3 linked regions of the Oryctolagus cuniculus genome follow. The protein of the gene in region 2 purifies or fractionates together with the protein of the main gene of each other region. This does not show direct contact. Links are inferred from orthologs where the notes say so. Each region holds a gene or a part of one and is shown on either strand. Other genes may lie near its edges. The genes, in order: MC1R, MGRN1 and ANKRD46.

Region 1 (5,391 bases), on a different chromosome or scaffold from region 2:
GGCCAAGGCACGGCGGCTCCTCCTGCCGCCCCAGCGAGCTAACGGCCGGGCCTCCGAACCAGAGCACTGTGCCTACTCTAGCACACCCTGTCATGCACATGGAGTCACACAGGCCGGATGTTCTTGCTCACAGAGAGATCTGCCCTTGTTGCAGGAATTGTCCTCATCCAGACCGTGTGCTGTCCACTGTGTGACCAGGCCATACTGGGCATCTGGCCGGCTCCTGGGCTCTGCCTATGACGGACAGTGCTGGGAGATGCTCCCACCTTTTGGTTGAACACGTGTGCTCCTGCAGGATGACACCAAGGACAGGCACGGGGTGGGCAGAGGTGTGTCAGCCTTGCCTTTGTGCACTTTCCACAGTGGTGGAGGTGGCGCAGCAGAGCCGCAAGGGAGGCCCTGCCACAGCTGCATCCCAGCTTCTGCTCCCGGCTGACCGAGTGGCAGCCAAAAGGTGGCGGAGGGTCCCAGGAGGTGATCGGGAACCAGGGCTGGGGCAGGGGGAGCCGTGTCCTGGGGCCACAACTCCTGGTGCCCGCAGATCCCCCAGCGGTCAGCAGCGCCAGCCCCAGCTTCCTGTGCTGTCACATTTCGGGGATGTGTTTCCAGCTCCGTAAATGAGGCCTTTGAGAAGCAACAGGGTTCACACCAGCCTTCCTCCCCCACTCGCCCAGCCTGGGATTTGAAGAGCGTGGGAACCAGGCAGCCTTTGGCCGAGGTGACCACATCCTTCCTCCTGGCACAACCATGCTGGTGGGCACCAGGGGAGGGTGACCCTGCCATAGGACTCTCGTGCCGAGCTTCTGTCTGTCACCGGAGGGAAGAGACGAAACCGGAAGACCCTAACAGGAGTCACACCGACTTCACCTCCTAGTGCCCCTGGACAATCTGTGAAGCAGGAGGCATGCTGGGCAGTCCCAGCATGGGACAGAGTGCACTGGCCACTCACCATTGTCCACCACCTGAGAGGCCTCTGGACCAGCCCAGATGTCAAGAGCTGAGCAGAGCGGAGCCTCCCCAGTGCTGCTGTGTACCTGCCACACCTCCAGACGTGCAACTGAGCCATGGGGTGTAGCCTCTCTGTGTCCAGCCACAGCTGCAGCCAGTGTGGTGGGGTGGGGGTGCCCGGCTCCTGGTCCTGCTCCCCTCACCAGCCACGCGCCTGCCCACTGGCTCTCCTCAGTGAGCTCCCGCTGCAGCCTATCAGAGCTGGGGCACCACATTTTGGTTGGGGTGCTGTCCATCTTTTTTAAGATTTAATTATTATCATTATTATTATTTATTTATTTATTTACTTGAGAGGCAGAGTTACAGAGGAGGAGACGTCTTACAGCCACTGGTTCACCACCCCCCAAATGGCTGCAATGGCCCGGTTTGGTCCAGGCCAAAACCAGGAGCCAGGAGCTTCTTCCGGGTCTCCCACGTGGATGCAGGGGCCCAAACACTCGGGCCATCTTCCACTGCTTTTCCAGGCACATCAGCAGCAGGGACTTGAACCGGTGTCCACGTGGACTGCCAACACTGCAGGTGAGGCTTAACTTTCTACGCCACAGCATTGGCCCCTACGTATTTATTTTTAACTGTTGTCTTTAACCTTTTTTAGCTTTTATTTTTTTAAAGACTTATTTACTTGAAAGTCAGTCACACAGAGAGGAGGAGAGGCTGAGAGAGAGAGAGAGAGGTCTACCATCTGCTGGTTCACTCCCCAAATGGCTTCAACAGCCAGAGCTGCCGATCTGAAGCCAGGAGCTTCTTCTGAGTCTCCCACGGCTGCAGGTGCCTAAGGACTTGGGTCATCTTCTGCTGCTTTCCCAGGCCACAGCAGAGAGCTGGATCGGAAGTGGAGCAGCCAGGATTGAACCGGAATTCATATGGGATGTTGGCACTGCAGGCGGCGGCCTTACCTGCTACGCCATAGCACCAGCCCCTACTTACTTAATTTCTAATTTTTAAAGTCAAAGCAAGAGAGAGACAAGGAAAGAGAACGATAGTCTACCCACTGGTTCACTCCCTAGATGGCTGCAACGGCCAGGAGCTTCCTCTGGGTCTCTACATGGGTGCAGGGGCCTGAGCTCTTGGGTCATCCTCCACTGCTCTCCCAGGCACACCGGCCCCTAACCCTCTCCTTTGAATCTGGGGGTGGGGATGCTGAACAGGTCTCTGGTCTGCCCCGTATCCCAGCCCCTTGGCACACAGGGGCCTCCCGTGGAAGCTGAGCAGAGTCCAGGGACAGCTGGGACTCAGCACGACCCCTGGCCTGGGTAGCAGATGCAGCCCTTCAAGCTGAAAGATGGGACGTGAGGGCCACAGGTGTCTCCTCCCACTGCCATTAGCAATGTGTCAGCTGCAGGTGACCCCACAGCCCTGGCTCTGTGGGCTCCCGGCCTCTCAGGACAGCAGGCCTGGTCAGTGTCATCTTGGTCTGCTTCAGGCAGGGTGCAGGGAGGCTGATGTGGCTCCAGATGTCACATCTCCACAGGCTGGGGGAGAGGCACAGTGCCACGCCCTCCGACGCTCACTTCCAGAACACGACCTCTCGGCACAGCCCAGCGTCCCAGCTCAAGTTCCTTCCAGGACTCCCCAGCTGCCGGCGAGCAAGATGGGGGCTGTTGCTCACCCACCCGTGTGCTGGCACATGGTCCCCGTCTGGGACAGCCGTCGGGACCCACCCACAGCATGGCTCCTTGCACGTGGTCTCTCAAGGGCACAGCAGGCACCGGACTCCACGCTCTTGCTACAAAGTGGAGCTGCAGGCCCAGATCTGAGACAGGCAGTGGCAGCTTGGCTCCCGGGCTCTCTCTCGCTATCAACACCATGCAGTGAGCTCTTGACATCCCGGGGAGGTCCCGGGGAGGGGGCCGGCACCCCAGGCATCTGGTAGTAAATGTAGGGCACCCCCCCAACCTCTGCTGTACCAGGTGACCCTGCCTCCCCTCCCCTACCAGCCAACACCACCACCTCACAGGAACAACGAAGCACTGTGGGGGCTTCTCGGGGGAGGCCAGCGGGCCAGGCCTTGGGGAGGACCGCGCCGGCCGCCTCTGGCCAGCAGCTCTCACCACCCTGTGGCCGGCATCGTTTCCTCACCCCGCCCTCTCCCTCCTGTGTGGAAGCTGGGGCTGAGCAGGGACAGAACACCTGCCGCACTTCTTCACACCTGCAGGCTCGGATCCTTCCAGGACCAGTCAGGCTTCCAAGCCCTGGGCCAGAGCAACGGCCTCACCTGTGTGACGGCGGCAGCACCGTGGGGCCCTCGGGACCTGGGCACGTGCTGAACAAGTGAGCCAGGCCCTGCCCCGGGCCACACGCTACCGCCAGATCAAGCAACCCTTAATCAAGACACGTCTTCCCCAAACCTGCTCCCTGGGGCCTCCTGCAGGCCTGCACCCTGTACTGCAGCGCCCCTAGAGCCCTGGCTGCCCCGCTTCCTACTCAGCTCCTGCTCACGTGCACTCTGGGAGACAGCAAATGATGGTCCCAGTGCTCAGGCCCCCGACACCCACAGGGGAGACCGAAATGGAGCTCCTGATCCTGGCTTCGGCCTGCCCCAGCTCGGCCCTTGCGGCCATCAGGGGAGTAAGCCCTTCCTTTCAACGCTCCTGTAACTCTGCTTTTCGAACAGAAAGTCAATTTCCAAAACCAAACAAACAAAACCTGCTTTTGGGTTTCCCCTTCATCTGGGCCCCGCCCTGTAGTTTTGCGATAACTCACCCCGTCAGATTGGAGAGACGGTGGCGTTCATCGGCCAGCTAGGTCACACGTGCTGCTCTGCTCTGAAGGGGCCCAGGGACCCTGCCCCAGCAGGGAGCACCCAGGGGGCCCCACACAACCTTGTCCAAGTTCCAGGAGCCCACCCTGGAGGCGGCTGAATGGGTGCGGGCACCGCCCGCCGACACCCGCAGGGAACAGAAGACGCAGGCCGATGATACATCCAGCTTTTCTACTTGCGGGGCCTGGCCAATTCCGACCAGAACAGAAATCAGGAACATAATTGCACAGTGTGGGGCGCAGCACGTGCACACAGCTCAGCCCCACTCCCCCTCCCCCTCGGGGTTGTCCTCTCGCGGTGCCTCCAGGTCGTTGAAGTGGAAGTTGGCCATCATGTCGCGCACAGCCAGCATCAGCCTGTTCAAGCCCTGGTTGCGGTTCAGACCCCCAGCAACTCCTTCATCTGGCCTCTCCCCCTGTGGCAACGAGACACATCTGGGCTGGGACTCGGGAGGTGTGTGCTCCAACGCCCGAGGATGCCCATGCGTTAGCACTGGGCCCCAGACCCTCCCCATGTCCCTGCCAAAGTGAGGGAGCTCTCAGAAACCAAACGAAGGTGCAGAAGCCACGTCAGGCCCAGGGAGCCGGCCCAGCAGCCACGCTGGCCGTGGGGCTCCCGCCTCGACTGCTCAGCAGACTGCACATAGGTCCTTCCCTGCGCCTGCGCTGCCTGCATGGCTGCAGACTCTCACACCCAGGTGGACTTGTCTACCAGCCCGGCAGGGACGGGCCGAGGCCGCTCCACGTACCTCCATGGTGTAATTTGGCAACAGGGACCTGAAGAAGAGGGCGATTGTGTTTCCATGGCTGACAGGACTTAGCCTGCAAGACAAGGGCAAGAAGGGTCACAGGACAAAATCAGTTACTACCTCCGGTTTCCAGCCCCACTCACAACGGCCCTCGTCAGCTGTCTCCCACCCATCTCCCACTGGCAGGGTCAGGAAGCAGCCTTAGGGAGCCCAAGGACACAATGGAGGCCCTATGTCTGCACAGCATAGCAGATGAGGGCCCTGGGGTGGGCAGTGGCTCCCGAACAGCTTGAGGACGTCCCATATGGATGTCGGTTCAAGCCCTGGATGCTCCACTTCCAATCCAGCTCCCTGCTGATGTGCCTGGGACAGCAGTGGAAGACGGCCCAAGTGCTTGGGCCCCTGCACCCATGTGGGAGACCTGGAAGAAGCTCCTGGCTTCGGCCTAGTGCAGCCCTGGCCATTGAGGGCATTTGGGGGGTGAACCAGAGGATGTAAGACCTCTACCTCTACCTCCCTCTCTCCCTCCCCCCCTCCCTCCTTCTCTCTCTTTCTCTGTGTCTCTACCTTTCAAATAAATAAAGGCAAATAAAGAAAAGCTGTAGGTTCACTGTCTCCTCCAGCAGCCTACAGCTACTTATGCGTGGAGACCCCTGCTGGTGAGAGGTGGGGCTGCAGCCTCTCTGCCACACACTGGCGCACACACTGGCGCCCACATCGGGATTACGGGCAGGGCCCACAGAGTGAGGCTGAGCGAGCAGCTGCCACGGGACCACTCCCTCACTGGGACGAGGCCCAGTGCAGCAGAAGGTTCTTTTCATGAACACACGAAGAGTCCATGATTTCCACCCTGACAGAATGGAGAATTCAACAG
Region 2 (4,925 bases):
TGTTTCCATGGGTCCCACGGAACACGCTTGCTCAGGTCATGGGTGTCAGAGTGTCGTGTTTGCTGTTTCTACTCCGTGCTGACTTCCTAGCCCGGTCAGGCCCTTTGAGGGCGAGAGCTTGACTGTTGCTAACTTTGGCTTCCTCTGTCCTGTGTGTCCAGGAGGCCTGAACTTGGCTGAATGGCCTTGAACTTGAGTTGACTTCTGTTGGGCGGGGCAGGGCCAGAGGCTGTGCTGCTAGCAGGTTCTCCAGGTCTGGTCTGCGTGTCCCTCCTTTTCCGAGCAGGGGATAGGTTCCCCAGCAGGGAAGAGCCTCCAGCCCGCTGAGCGGGAGGGCGCGGAGCCCACGGGGAGTTAACGTCTGTGTCTTTGCCTGCAGCACGTGGACGGCAGCTTCTCCGTGAAGCCTCTAAAGCAGAAGCAGATCGTAAGTCTCACACACAGTAGCCTCGCCCTGGGATGAGAACGCCGCACGCGCCTCCGGGGGCGGGATTGGCACGCGAGGGCCGGGCCGAAGGTGCTGCCCAGACAGCTGCTGCAGCTCCCTGTGGGGCTCCGAGCTCTGGCTGTTCGCCCTGGGACTGGGTGCTGAATGCCCACCTGTGCCAGCAGCGGCTCTTGGAGGCCCCAGGTCTTGCCCAGTTGAGCCATGGTACCGAGAAGCCAGCAGCCAGTACATAGTTGATGAGTGAACGCATAGAGGGAGGAAGGAAGGTGATGGGAGGAAGACGGGAGCCTGACCCCGGCAGCAGGTGGCGGCCTGGACCGGCCTCTGCAGCTCACGAGAGGAGGGTGAGAAACCCTGGTGCTAATGGGAGCTGGACTCGGCACGTCTTCGCTTTGGGGTCAGTCTGTGCCTGTTCACACACCGGGACGTTCCTGCTGCTGGCTCCCACGCGGCTCCGTGGCAACGTAGAGTGGGGAGCAGGCCTTGGCCGGGGTCTGTGTCCCAGAGCCACGGTCAGATCTGTCCTGGGAAGAAGGGAGGGAACTCTGGGAGGTGCAGACTGTGAAGATGCCCTGGGGCTGGAGACGCCCGTGTGGCTGGGTGTTGTCTAGGGGTACTGCCCAGCAAGCTTCGGGCCCCCTGGGGTGCCCTGGTCCCTGAACTACGGGAGATCTAGCAACTGTGGTCACTTAGGAGCATGGTCAGCATGAGGCCATGAGGTGGGGAGCGAGTGGCAGGCCAGGAGAGAGATCGCCTGGGACCCTTAACCAGAGCTGTGGTCAGGCCTCCTGTAGGAGGTTCTGGAAAGCTGTGGCTGCGTCAGCTGCCATCTGGTGTCTCCCAGCGTCAGGTCCTGTGGGGCTGGCGGCGGTGGCTCTGGGCTTTCCCTGGAGGCGTGGCTGGTGGGCGGAGTGTGGTTCTGATCCACGTAGAGCTTGACGCAGGGCTGTCTGGGGCAGGACTGCCAGCCCACGGCCTGCTTCCTGCTTCCTGCGCTGTCAGCAGGCTGGGCGCGTGGCAGATTTCCTGCCCCAGGCTTTGCCTGGCATCAGGCCCCACAGAATTCCCAGCCACAGCTGCCCTGGGACCTCAGCCTGGCACCTTGTTGGGGGGGTGAGGGCATCCTCGCGTGGGGGCAGGCGAGGGCCCAGCGTTCCTCTCTGCTCTCCAGGTGGACCGGGTCAGCTACCTGCTGCAGGAGATCTACGGCATCGAGAACAAGAACAACCAGGAGACCAAGGTGTGTCCTGTGACGCGCCTGCCGTGGCTCGGCCGGCCACGCACCTGCGCTTCCTCCTGCCCCGTGGCGGCCACTCGAGGGGTGTGGCTTGCTGCTGTCACCCATGGAGGCTACTCGTGGGGTGTGGCTTGCTGCTGTCACCCATGGTGGTCACTTGTGGGGTGTGAGACTTGGTGTCACCCGTGGTGGCCACTTGCGGGGTGTGACTTGCTGCGGTTGCCCAGGGCACCCAGGGTTGATGGTGAACGGGTGGGGCTCCTTCCCGCCTTCCCTGGAACCTAGCTTTTAAGCACGTAGTTACTTCCTTGTTTGATGGATGGACAGCAGCCAGAGCGCCCGTCCTCCAGCTCTCTCTCAGGCTGGGAGCCGAGGGGGCCAAAGCCGGGAGCCCGAGTGCTATCCGGGTCTCCCACGTGGATGGCGGGAACCCAGTTACCTGAGTCAGCACCTCTGCCTCCTGGAGTCTGTGCTCGGGGGCTGGAGTCGGGAGCCAGAGCTGGGCGTCACCGGGCACCTCCACCTGGGATGCAGGCACCTTAGCGGCAGGTGCCTGCCGGCCGCAGGCTTGCCCCAGGATAATTCCTGTTCCGGAAGTTCACTTATAGGACGTTTTGTTCTCTTCCCAGCACTGTCACTGGCTTTTTCTGGAAATAGCCATCCCCATCTAGGGCAGCCTGGGCAAGAGGCACAGCCCCTGGTCCTTGTGGGGTTGGCCTGGCAACCTTAGGCTGTGAGCCGGTGCTGCCCTGCTGGCTTCCCCCTGCCTGCCTGCAGTTGTTGGTGGAGGGACAGGCTTTCTGGAAGGAGCCCGTGGTGGCCGACAGCCGGGCGTGGTCTAGGGCAGCCGGGGAAGCGCAGCCTAGACTGGTTGCATTTCCATCGTATTTTAAGGCACACTGGCACGTGGGAAACCGCTGCCTGTTCTTCCACGTCCCCCTCCTGTGCCCGACCCTGCTTACCTTCCGAGACGAGACGAGATCGGGCGTGTTTCGGGTGGTACAGCTGTAGACCAGAATTTCTGTGAATGGCTCATACCGTTTGTGGTGTGGTATTTGGGTCCAGGACAGCCGGAACCAGCCAGAAGCCGGGAGAGCAGGGAGCCTTGACCCCTCCCAGGGTTTATGTCAGGGGCCAGCCAGCTTTCTGGAGGCACTGCCCTCAGAATGCAGACGCAGCCGAGACAACTTGGAGGCAAGTGGATGTGGCTGGGCCCAGTGAAATAATCATTCACAGAGACAGGCACATCACTCACAAAGACAAGTATGTCTCACACAGACACATCAGACAGGCTGTCCCTTGGAGACAGGCTCGTTACAGTCACAGGTGCATCACTCAGCCAGGTGTGTTACAGGCGCATCACTTGGAGACAGGTATATTGCAGGTTGTCACTCAGACAGCCTCATTACAAACACAGGCGTGTCACAGGCACATCACTCAGGGACAGCCTCGTTACAGACACAGGTGCGTCACAGGTGCATCTCAGCCAGGTGGGTTACAGGCGCATCACTGGGAGACAGTCTCGGTACGGACACAGATGCATCACCCAAAGACAGGCTCATCACAGGCTGTCACTCAGAGGCAGGCTTGTTACAGACACAGGCACGTCACAGGTGCTTGACTCACAGAGACGGCACGTCCCAGCACGTCATAGACAGGCGTGACCGCCACGTGCGCGTTCCTGTTTCAGACGGTGCGGTGCTCGTCAGGTGCTGACGTGGTCTCTGGAAGCTGTGTTGCAGGCGTGGCCGCTAGGCTGCCAGGTTGTGAAGACGGCCCCTTAGCCGAGTGTGTCTGTCTCTCCCACGTTTCCTCTTTGGGTCCCAGGAACACAATCCCCAGGTTCCTGAGGTTTGGGTGGGTGAGGGCACGGCCCTACCTCTGCAGGGGCCCCGGCGTTCTGCCCGTCAGTGACCCGCTCTCCCTGGGCCTGCCGCCTGGGCGGCCCTGACCCACAGGCCCTTGTCCCCGCAGCCCGCGGATGATGAGAACAGTGACAATAGCAACGAATGTGTGGTGTGCCTGTCCGACCTCCGAGACACGCTGATCCTGCCCTGCCGCCACCTGTGTCTGTGCACCTCGTGCGCCGACACGCTGCGCTACCAGGCCAACAACTGCCCCATCTGCCGGCTGCGTGAGTGCTGGGCCCTGCTCCTCGGAAGGCTCTGGAGGTGACGGCCACGCCGCCGCAGTCCCGGACCAGGGTAGACCCGGGGCCACAGGTCCCTTGTGACCCAAGGAAAGGAAGGGCCATGGCTCCCTCACCTGCTGCACAAGGCGTCGGGGTGCTTTGCGAGAGCCCTGGGCCCTCCTCTGCCCTGTGCTCCGGCTCCGGGAGGCGCCCCAGAGGTGCTTCAGGGCAGGAGTCCGTGGTGACGGTTGACTGCACAGGACAGCAGGGAGGGGAACCAGGACAGGGTGGTAGGCAGGAAGTTGGCGGGGACTCGGTGCCCTGGGCACCATTCTGAGTGAGCGTTCGTCTCTCCCTTGAGGGAAGCTGGACTTTGTTGGTGCAAGCCCCCCAGTGAAGAGGAGACACCCACTTAGGTCCTGGCCGTGAGGGACGAGGTGTGGTCAGGGAGGAAGCTTCCATCTGGTGGGTTGCTGAGCCCTGGAACCAGGGCGTGGGCTGTGTGTGAGGTGGGCTGAGTGCCTGCTGCTGCTGCTGGACCCCGAGGGCTTCCCCGAGGTTGCAGCTAGGCGGAGGCAGAGGCGGGGTCTGTGCCACCGTGGTTGTCCCTGTGAGCCAGGTGGCCATGGAGGCTGCGTGAGTGCTGCCAGTGGGCCAGGACGCTCCAGGCGAGCCTGAGTGGTGGCAGGCAGCGCAGTGGAGCCCCGCTGGCCTCCGTCTGCGGAACAGGCTGCGGCGCCGGAGCTGAGGACCAGGGAGCCGGCTGGGGTGGGCCTTGGCGGGAAGTGCTGGGTGTCCAGGAGCTGTGTCGAGGGCTGAGCCTTGGTCCTGCCCGTGGCTTCTCTGCGCAGGCCATTTTGTTAAGGTCACTTCAGCCTGCAGTCCGGATGTGTGACTCGTCCCAGGACTGCAGTGGGGACCAGTGGGGTGGCCGGTGCAGGCGGGAACCTGCTGGAGGTGCCCTGCCGACTGACGTGAGTCCTTGCCTGCCGCAGCGTTCCGGGCCCTCCTGCAGATCCGAGCTGTGCGGAAGAAGCCAGGGGCCCTGTCTCCCATCTCCTTCAGCCCCGTCCTGGCCCAGAGCGTGGACCACGATGAGCACTCTGTAA
Region 3 (5,608 bases), on a different chromosome or scaffold from region 2:
TCTCTGTGTGTTTTGTATTTAAATATGCATTTTGCAGGACCTCTAAGTGAATATTTAACCTAAGGTAAGAACAAAGATTAATCTTAAAGGTACATGGTCCACCCAAGTGTTTTTATGAGCCCTGAAATGTACTGTGCAAAAAGGACACGCTTCATTTGGAAAATTAATTGCATACTATTACTAGCAATACTACAGTTATTTCCCTCAGTCGTTGATAAAATAATCCAAGTGTAACTGATAAGTAGCTAAGTTGGAAATAAAGATAATCGGGCCCAGTGCTGTGGCACAGTGGGGTAAGCCTCCGCCTGCAACGCTGGCATCTTGTATGGGCACTGGTTGGAGACCCAGCTGCTCCACTTCCGATCAGCTCTCTGCTATGGCCTGGGAAAGCAGCAGAAGATGGCCCAGGTGCTTGGGCCCCTGCTCCCACGTGGGAGACCTGGAGGAAACTCTGGGCTCCTGGCTTCACCTGGGCCTAGCTCTAGCTGTTGCTGTACTTTTGGGGGTGAACCAACAGATGGAAGAGTTCGCTCTCTGCCTTTCAGGTAAATAAAAAATAAATCTTTATAAAAAAGAAACAAAGATCATATTATGTGGGAATGACTCCAGTGCTTTCAAATATTTCATACAAGAGGAGCAGCGCTGAGACACAGTGGTTTAGGCCACCACCTGTGACACCAGCATTCCATAGCAGAGTGCTAGTTTGAGTCCCAGCTACTGGCTGCTGATCCAGCCCCATGCTGATGTGCCTGGGGAAGCAGTGGATGATGGTCCAAGTTCTTCGGTCTCAGCCACTTAAGTGAGAGACCTGGATGGATGGAGTCTGGTCTGGCTGTTGTGACCATCTGAAGAGTGGACCAGTATGTGAATTTGTCTCTCTGTCTCTCCCTCCCTCTCCATCACTCTGCCTTTCAAATGAATAAATAAATCCTTAAATAAAAAATATATTTATACACATATATTATATATACGAGTAAGTTATGCTAACTCCCTGCAAAGTGCTGTCCATGCATCTCCAAGTCCTCTGCCAGTAGTTACTCTTGAAACCACACCAACCAGGTGTTTTCCCTCATTCTCTCCTCGAAGTGTTCTTGTGAGTACCAATGGCCTTGGTAGCACAGGAGGTTACTTTAATTGTCCTATTTTATGAGCAGTCACTGCTGCTAACCTCTTACTGTGCCTAATTCATAAATTAAATGTCATCATAGGTATTACGGATAGGAAAAACACAGACTCCTGTATGTAGGGTTTGGTTCTGTGTTTTCAAGCATCTACTGGGTACTTGGTACACAGTCCCCAGAGACAAATGGGGGCTGCTGTGCCTCTACCACGACTACCTGTTCTATGTCACCATCATCTCTCACTTGGATCAGTGCACCCACCTCCTAACTGGTCTCCCAGCTTCCATCCTTGCCCTCATAGTCCACTCTGAACAGAGTAGCCTCGGTGATTGTTGAAAAACATCAAGCCAGGGTCCCTCACCCCTCTGAACAACACCCTCCAACCACCTCCTACTACTATACTCAGTGTACAAAGCTCCCTCCCTCCCTCTGCTGCTCCTCCAACAAGACGGGGGATTTCTGGGCTTCTGCACCTGCCCACTGTGTTCTTCCCTGGGAGCTGCCCCGCTGTCCCATGTTCCCTCGGTTCTGCTCAGCGGTGTTCTCCACGGCAAGGTTCCTCAGGTTAGAAGTGTGCCTGTTCCCTCCCGGTACTTCCTGTGCCAGTTCACTCCTCCATCTTTCTTCTTAGTAACTGTCACCATCTGACTGGATATGTTTTGATTGATTTTTTAAAAAAACAAGATTTATATGTTTAGTTGAAAAGTGGAGCAACAGAGAGGGAGGGAGACACACAGAGAGATCTTCCACCAGCTGGTTCACTCCCCAAATGGCCACAATAGCCAGATCTGGGCCAGACTAAAGCCAAGTGTGGAACTCCATCTGGATCCCCCACATGGGTGACAGGGGCCCAGGGACTTGTTCCATCTCCTGTTGCCTTCTCAGGCATATTAGCAGCGAGCTGGATCAGAAGCAGAGCCAAGACTTGAACCAGCACTCAGACATGGGATGATGGCTTTGCAAGCAAGGCTTAACCCACTGTACCAATGCCAGGTGGTGATTCGATTTTTTTTAAAAGTTATTCTGTTTACTGCCCCCACCTCCATCACCTCCAGCGAAATGAGGACGACTCTGTTTGGCTCACTCTTACAATCCCAGTGTTCAGGGCAGCGCCTGGTTACAGAAGGAAGTCAACGTAAATCTGCTATATAAATGCTGACCTATGCAAATAAAGAAATCCTGACAGTACTAAGAGATCTGGGACACTCTAACAGCCAACAATGGGAAATAAAACTTCCATCCTAACAATGATGGAACTCTGCAAATCCTGTACCTCCCACAGTATGTTACTCAATCTACTCTAAATAACAGGCTACCAACTCTCGTCCTTGCTCTTCACCTCACAGCCTCTCCCCACTGCCCTTCCTAAACCCTGAAAATAGCAACTTACTCTCGCTGAAACATCTCCCACCCCCTCTGATGCTGCTATCCTAAGACTGAAAAGGCAGGAGGGAGCTTGTTACAACGGTAAGAAATCACACGGTGTTGGAAAGCCATGTACGCTGTTCACATCCAAACTCATCTCTATTTCGAATCCAACATACCGAGCAGTGAGGGCTATATTAATCTCTATAACCCCTAATGAGGGAAGTTTTATTAGACTCCCGTTAAACTGGGGAGGAGCTGGAACGTGTACAGCCGCAACCATAAACCTTGAAAGACGTCGTTCAGGCTATAAATCACACACACACACACACACACACACAGCCCGGAGAACACGAACACGTGTGCACAGGCAACAGTCGCAAGCAGCCGAGGCTCAGCTCTCACTCACCCTCCGCCAGCCGTCAAGTCTCGGACAAGTTGCACTCTCCTTGCCTCAGTTTCCCTCTCTGCAAAACAGAAACGGCGGCTGAGGGCTGCTGTCGGGATGCAGTAAAGGTCCCCGGGGCTGTCAGTACTGGTGTACACGCTGAGCACCCCTAAACCACAACCCCCTGAGGGTGTGCGAGCAGAGACACGGGGCGCCACAGCCGCAAAACTCCACGCCTGACGCCACGTCCCGCCGCAGTCAAAACGCGGGCACGCCACAAAGACCTTCGGGCTCTGTGCACAGGGGCTGCACGGAACACAAACGCATTGCAGTGCTCAGCCCAGGGTCCCCTCCCCGGGATGCCGCAGCCTGCGTAGCAAATATTCCACACTCCGCACACACTTCTGGCCCCCAGCTCTCCGGATAAGGCACACTCGGCCTGTAATGTTAACACGATCCCCCCCGTCGACCACTACCCCGGGGTGTCAACGCGAACCCGCGCGGGCCGCCTTCCGGCCCGCACCACCACCACTCGGCCGCGCCTCGGCTTCCCCGGCCTCAGCGCAAGGTGCGAGACCCAGGCGCCCGCGCCCCGCAGGCCCCTCTGCCAGGCCCAGGACCCGGGCTCTCCGGGCCTTCGGGGCCAGCCGCGGAGGCAGCAGTGGCTCCTGCCCAGGCGCTGCCCGTGGGGCCCGGCCCAGGTACCTGCGACTCGGACGAGCAACAGCGGCGACAGCGGCAGCACCTTGGCCGTGACGGAGGCCGGCGGAGGAGGGGACCGGCCAGCCACAGAGGCAGGACGAGCCCCCTCCGCTGGACCAGAGCGGCCTCGCGCCGCCGCGGCGGGCGCGCCCCCTGCAGGTGGGAGGCCCGCACAGCCGCTGGGCACTTCCTGGGTCCGAGACACACAGGTGAGCCCTCTCTGTAGGTCGGATTCTGAAAGGAAAGGCGTTGCCTTCCTCCATCTGCGTCCTGGACGTTCTGCACTTTTCACAGCCCTTTCTGGATATGCATCCCAACCCCTCGGCTAAATGGAGGCCTCAAGGGCAAGGACGGTTTTATTAGTTTGCTATTAAGCATCAATTAATCATAGTTGCTCACTGCTACGGTGGAACTACAGAACCCAAGTGACCTCACCTTAACCCATAACCCTGAGTTTTAAATTTTACAAAAATATGGGGTTTTTTTTGAGTGATTTACATTCCGCTTTGTAGGATTCCTTGCCTTTTTGCAACATGTGCTCAAAGCTAACAATGGGGAAGTTCGTTTACTGAGACCTCCCCCCCCCCCCATACCTTTTCTTAGCTTATCAGCTCCCACCCTGCAGCCAGGGTGATGACCCCTGCATGGTAACAGTCTCTCCTCTGGATTCTGGCACCCATCCATTCAAGGGCCATCCACCCAGGCTGAGAGCTTGTTATCGATGATGTCATGTCTATGATTAGGGTTACTGTCAAATCTAAGGAATGCATGACCACATTTCTTCTGTATAACAATTGGGAGATCCCAGGATATTTCACATTTTCTTGTGCAGTAACTAATCAAACATTACTCTTTGGATTGATGACATTTATTAGCCAATTTGTCATTGATGTCTTCCAAAGGATCATGTATTGAGTTTTTATCGCCTCCAAGGATGCATGAAAATTATGTCAAATCAGCAAGGCAATTAAGCCTTGTCCTAGTGTTCACCTGAGGGCCTGTCCACTACTTGTATTCAAGCTCACCTCTCTCATGAATTGCTTCATTTTGTTCAATCTGCAAAATTTAGCTTTTATTCATCTGATGAGATTAAGGGGATGAGCTGCAAGCCAAGCGTGTTCTATGACTCCTTGGCGTCACCACACCTGGGGACTCTGACACATTAGCTGTTAGGAGCCTGCACGGAAGCTCTTCCTAGACTCCAGCAATAACTGACTGCTGCATGACAGTGACCATGAGCTACGTGAGTAGATCCCACTAAATGCAAACCAAAGTATACCCAGTGTATTCCTGTTTGGCCAGAACCCCAAAATGCTTGATCCAGGGAAGAGTACCTTGAGGGGCTGGCACTGTGGCGCAGCGGGTTAATGCCCTGGCCTGAAGTGCTGGCATCCCTATGGGCACCGGTTTGAGACCTGGCTGCTCCACTTCTGATCCAGCTCTCTGCTGTGGCCTGGGAAAGCAGTAGAGGATGGCCCAAGTGCTTGGGCCCCTGCACCCATGTGGGAGACCTGGAAGAAGCTCCTGCTTTTGGCTTAACATAACTCTGGCCATTGTGGCCAAATGGGGGTGAACCAGCGGGTGGAAAAGTCTCTCTCTCTCTCTCTCTCTCTCTCTCTCTCTGCCTCTCCTCTCTCTTTGTAACTCTGACTTTCAAGTAAATAAATAAATCTTAAAAAAAAAAAAGAGTACCTTGAAAAGTCTGAGTAGGAAGAGGCGGCAGTCTCAGTCATTGTAGCTAAAATAGTCTAAGTTTGCAAGATTTACAAAAGCGTATGACCATGGGACATCATCTCCCGAGTCCCTCCTGGGGTCTTAGGAGGCGCCATGCAAGGGAAGCCTCCCTGAGGGTCTTCAGAACATCTCTGGAATACGAACTCCAACTCCAGTGAACTCCAACGCCAGCGAGGTAGCATCTTTTCTCCTCTCTGACATGCCTATGTCCTCGCATCTTCCCTAACTTTGACTTTCCTGCCTCCTTATAAGGACCCTTGTGTTTAAATGGCGCACAAGTCAATCATCTAGAATAATC

What was found.
Region 1: the proteins of MGRN1 (region 2) and MC1R purify together in Homo sapiens (affinity purification with western blotting; 3 studies listed by BioGRID). This does not show direct contact. The link is inferred for Oryctolagus cuniculus from reciprocal best matches to the Homo sapiens genes MGRN1 and MC1R.
Region 3: the proteins of MGRN1 (region 2) and ANKRD46 purify together in Homo sapiens (co-immunoprecipitation; 3 studies listed by BioGRID and IntAct, counting the BioPlex papers as one, with this or other methods). This does not show direct contact. The link is inferred for Oryctolagus cuniculus from reciprocal best matches to the Homo sapiens genes MGRN1 and ANKRD46.

The regions. Positions count from the first base shown.
Region 1 is NC_091449.1:69,457,366-69,462,756, reverse strand, and holds the start of MC1R (melanocyte-stimulating hormone receptor), read right to left. Parts: upstream 3,769-5,391; 5' UTR 1-3,768. Other genes in the region: ribosome quality control complex subunit TCF25, read right to left, coding at 4,026-4,184, 4,518-4,590. UniProt on the Homo sapiens protein: Receptor for MSH (alpha, beta and gamma) and ACTH. The activity of this receptor is mediated by G proteins which activate adenylate cyclase.
Region 2 is NC_091450.1:30,941,201-30,946,125, reverse strand, and holds part of MGRN1 (E3 ubiquitin-protein ligase MGRN1), read left to right. Parts: intron 1-379; coding exon 380-427; intron 428-1,619; coding exon 1,620-1,688; intron 1,689-3,659; coding exon 3,660-3,819; intron 3,820-4,811; coding exon 4,812-4,921; intron 4,922-4,925. UniProt on the Homo sapiens protein: E3 ubiquitin-protein ligase. Mediates monoubiquitination at multiple sites of TSG101 in the presence of UBE2D1, but not of UBE2G1, nor UBE2H. Plays a role in the regulation of endosome-to-lysosome trafficking.
Region 3 is NC_091437.1:126,040,063-126,045,670, forward strand, and holds the start of ANKRD46 (ankyrin repeat domain-containing protein 46), read right to left. Parts: upstream 3,712-5,608; 5' UTR 3,580-3,711; intron 2,954-3,579; 5' UTR 2,896-2,953; intron 1-2,895.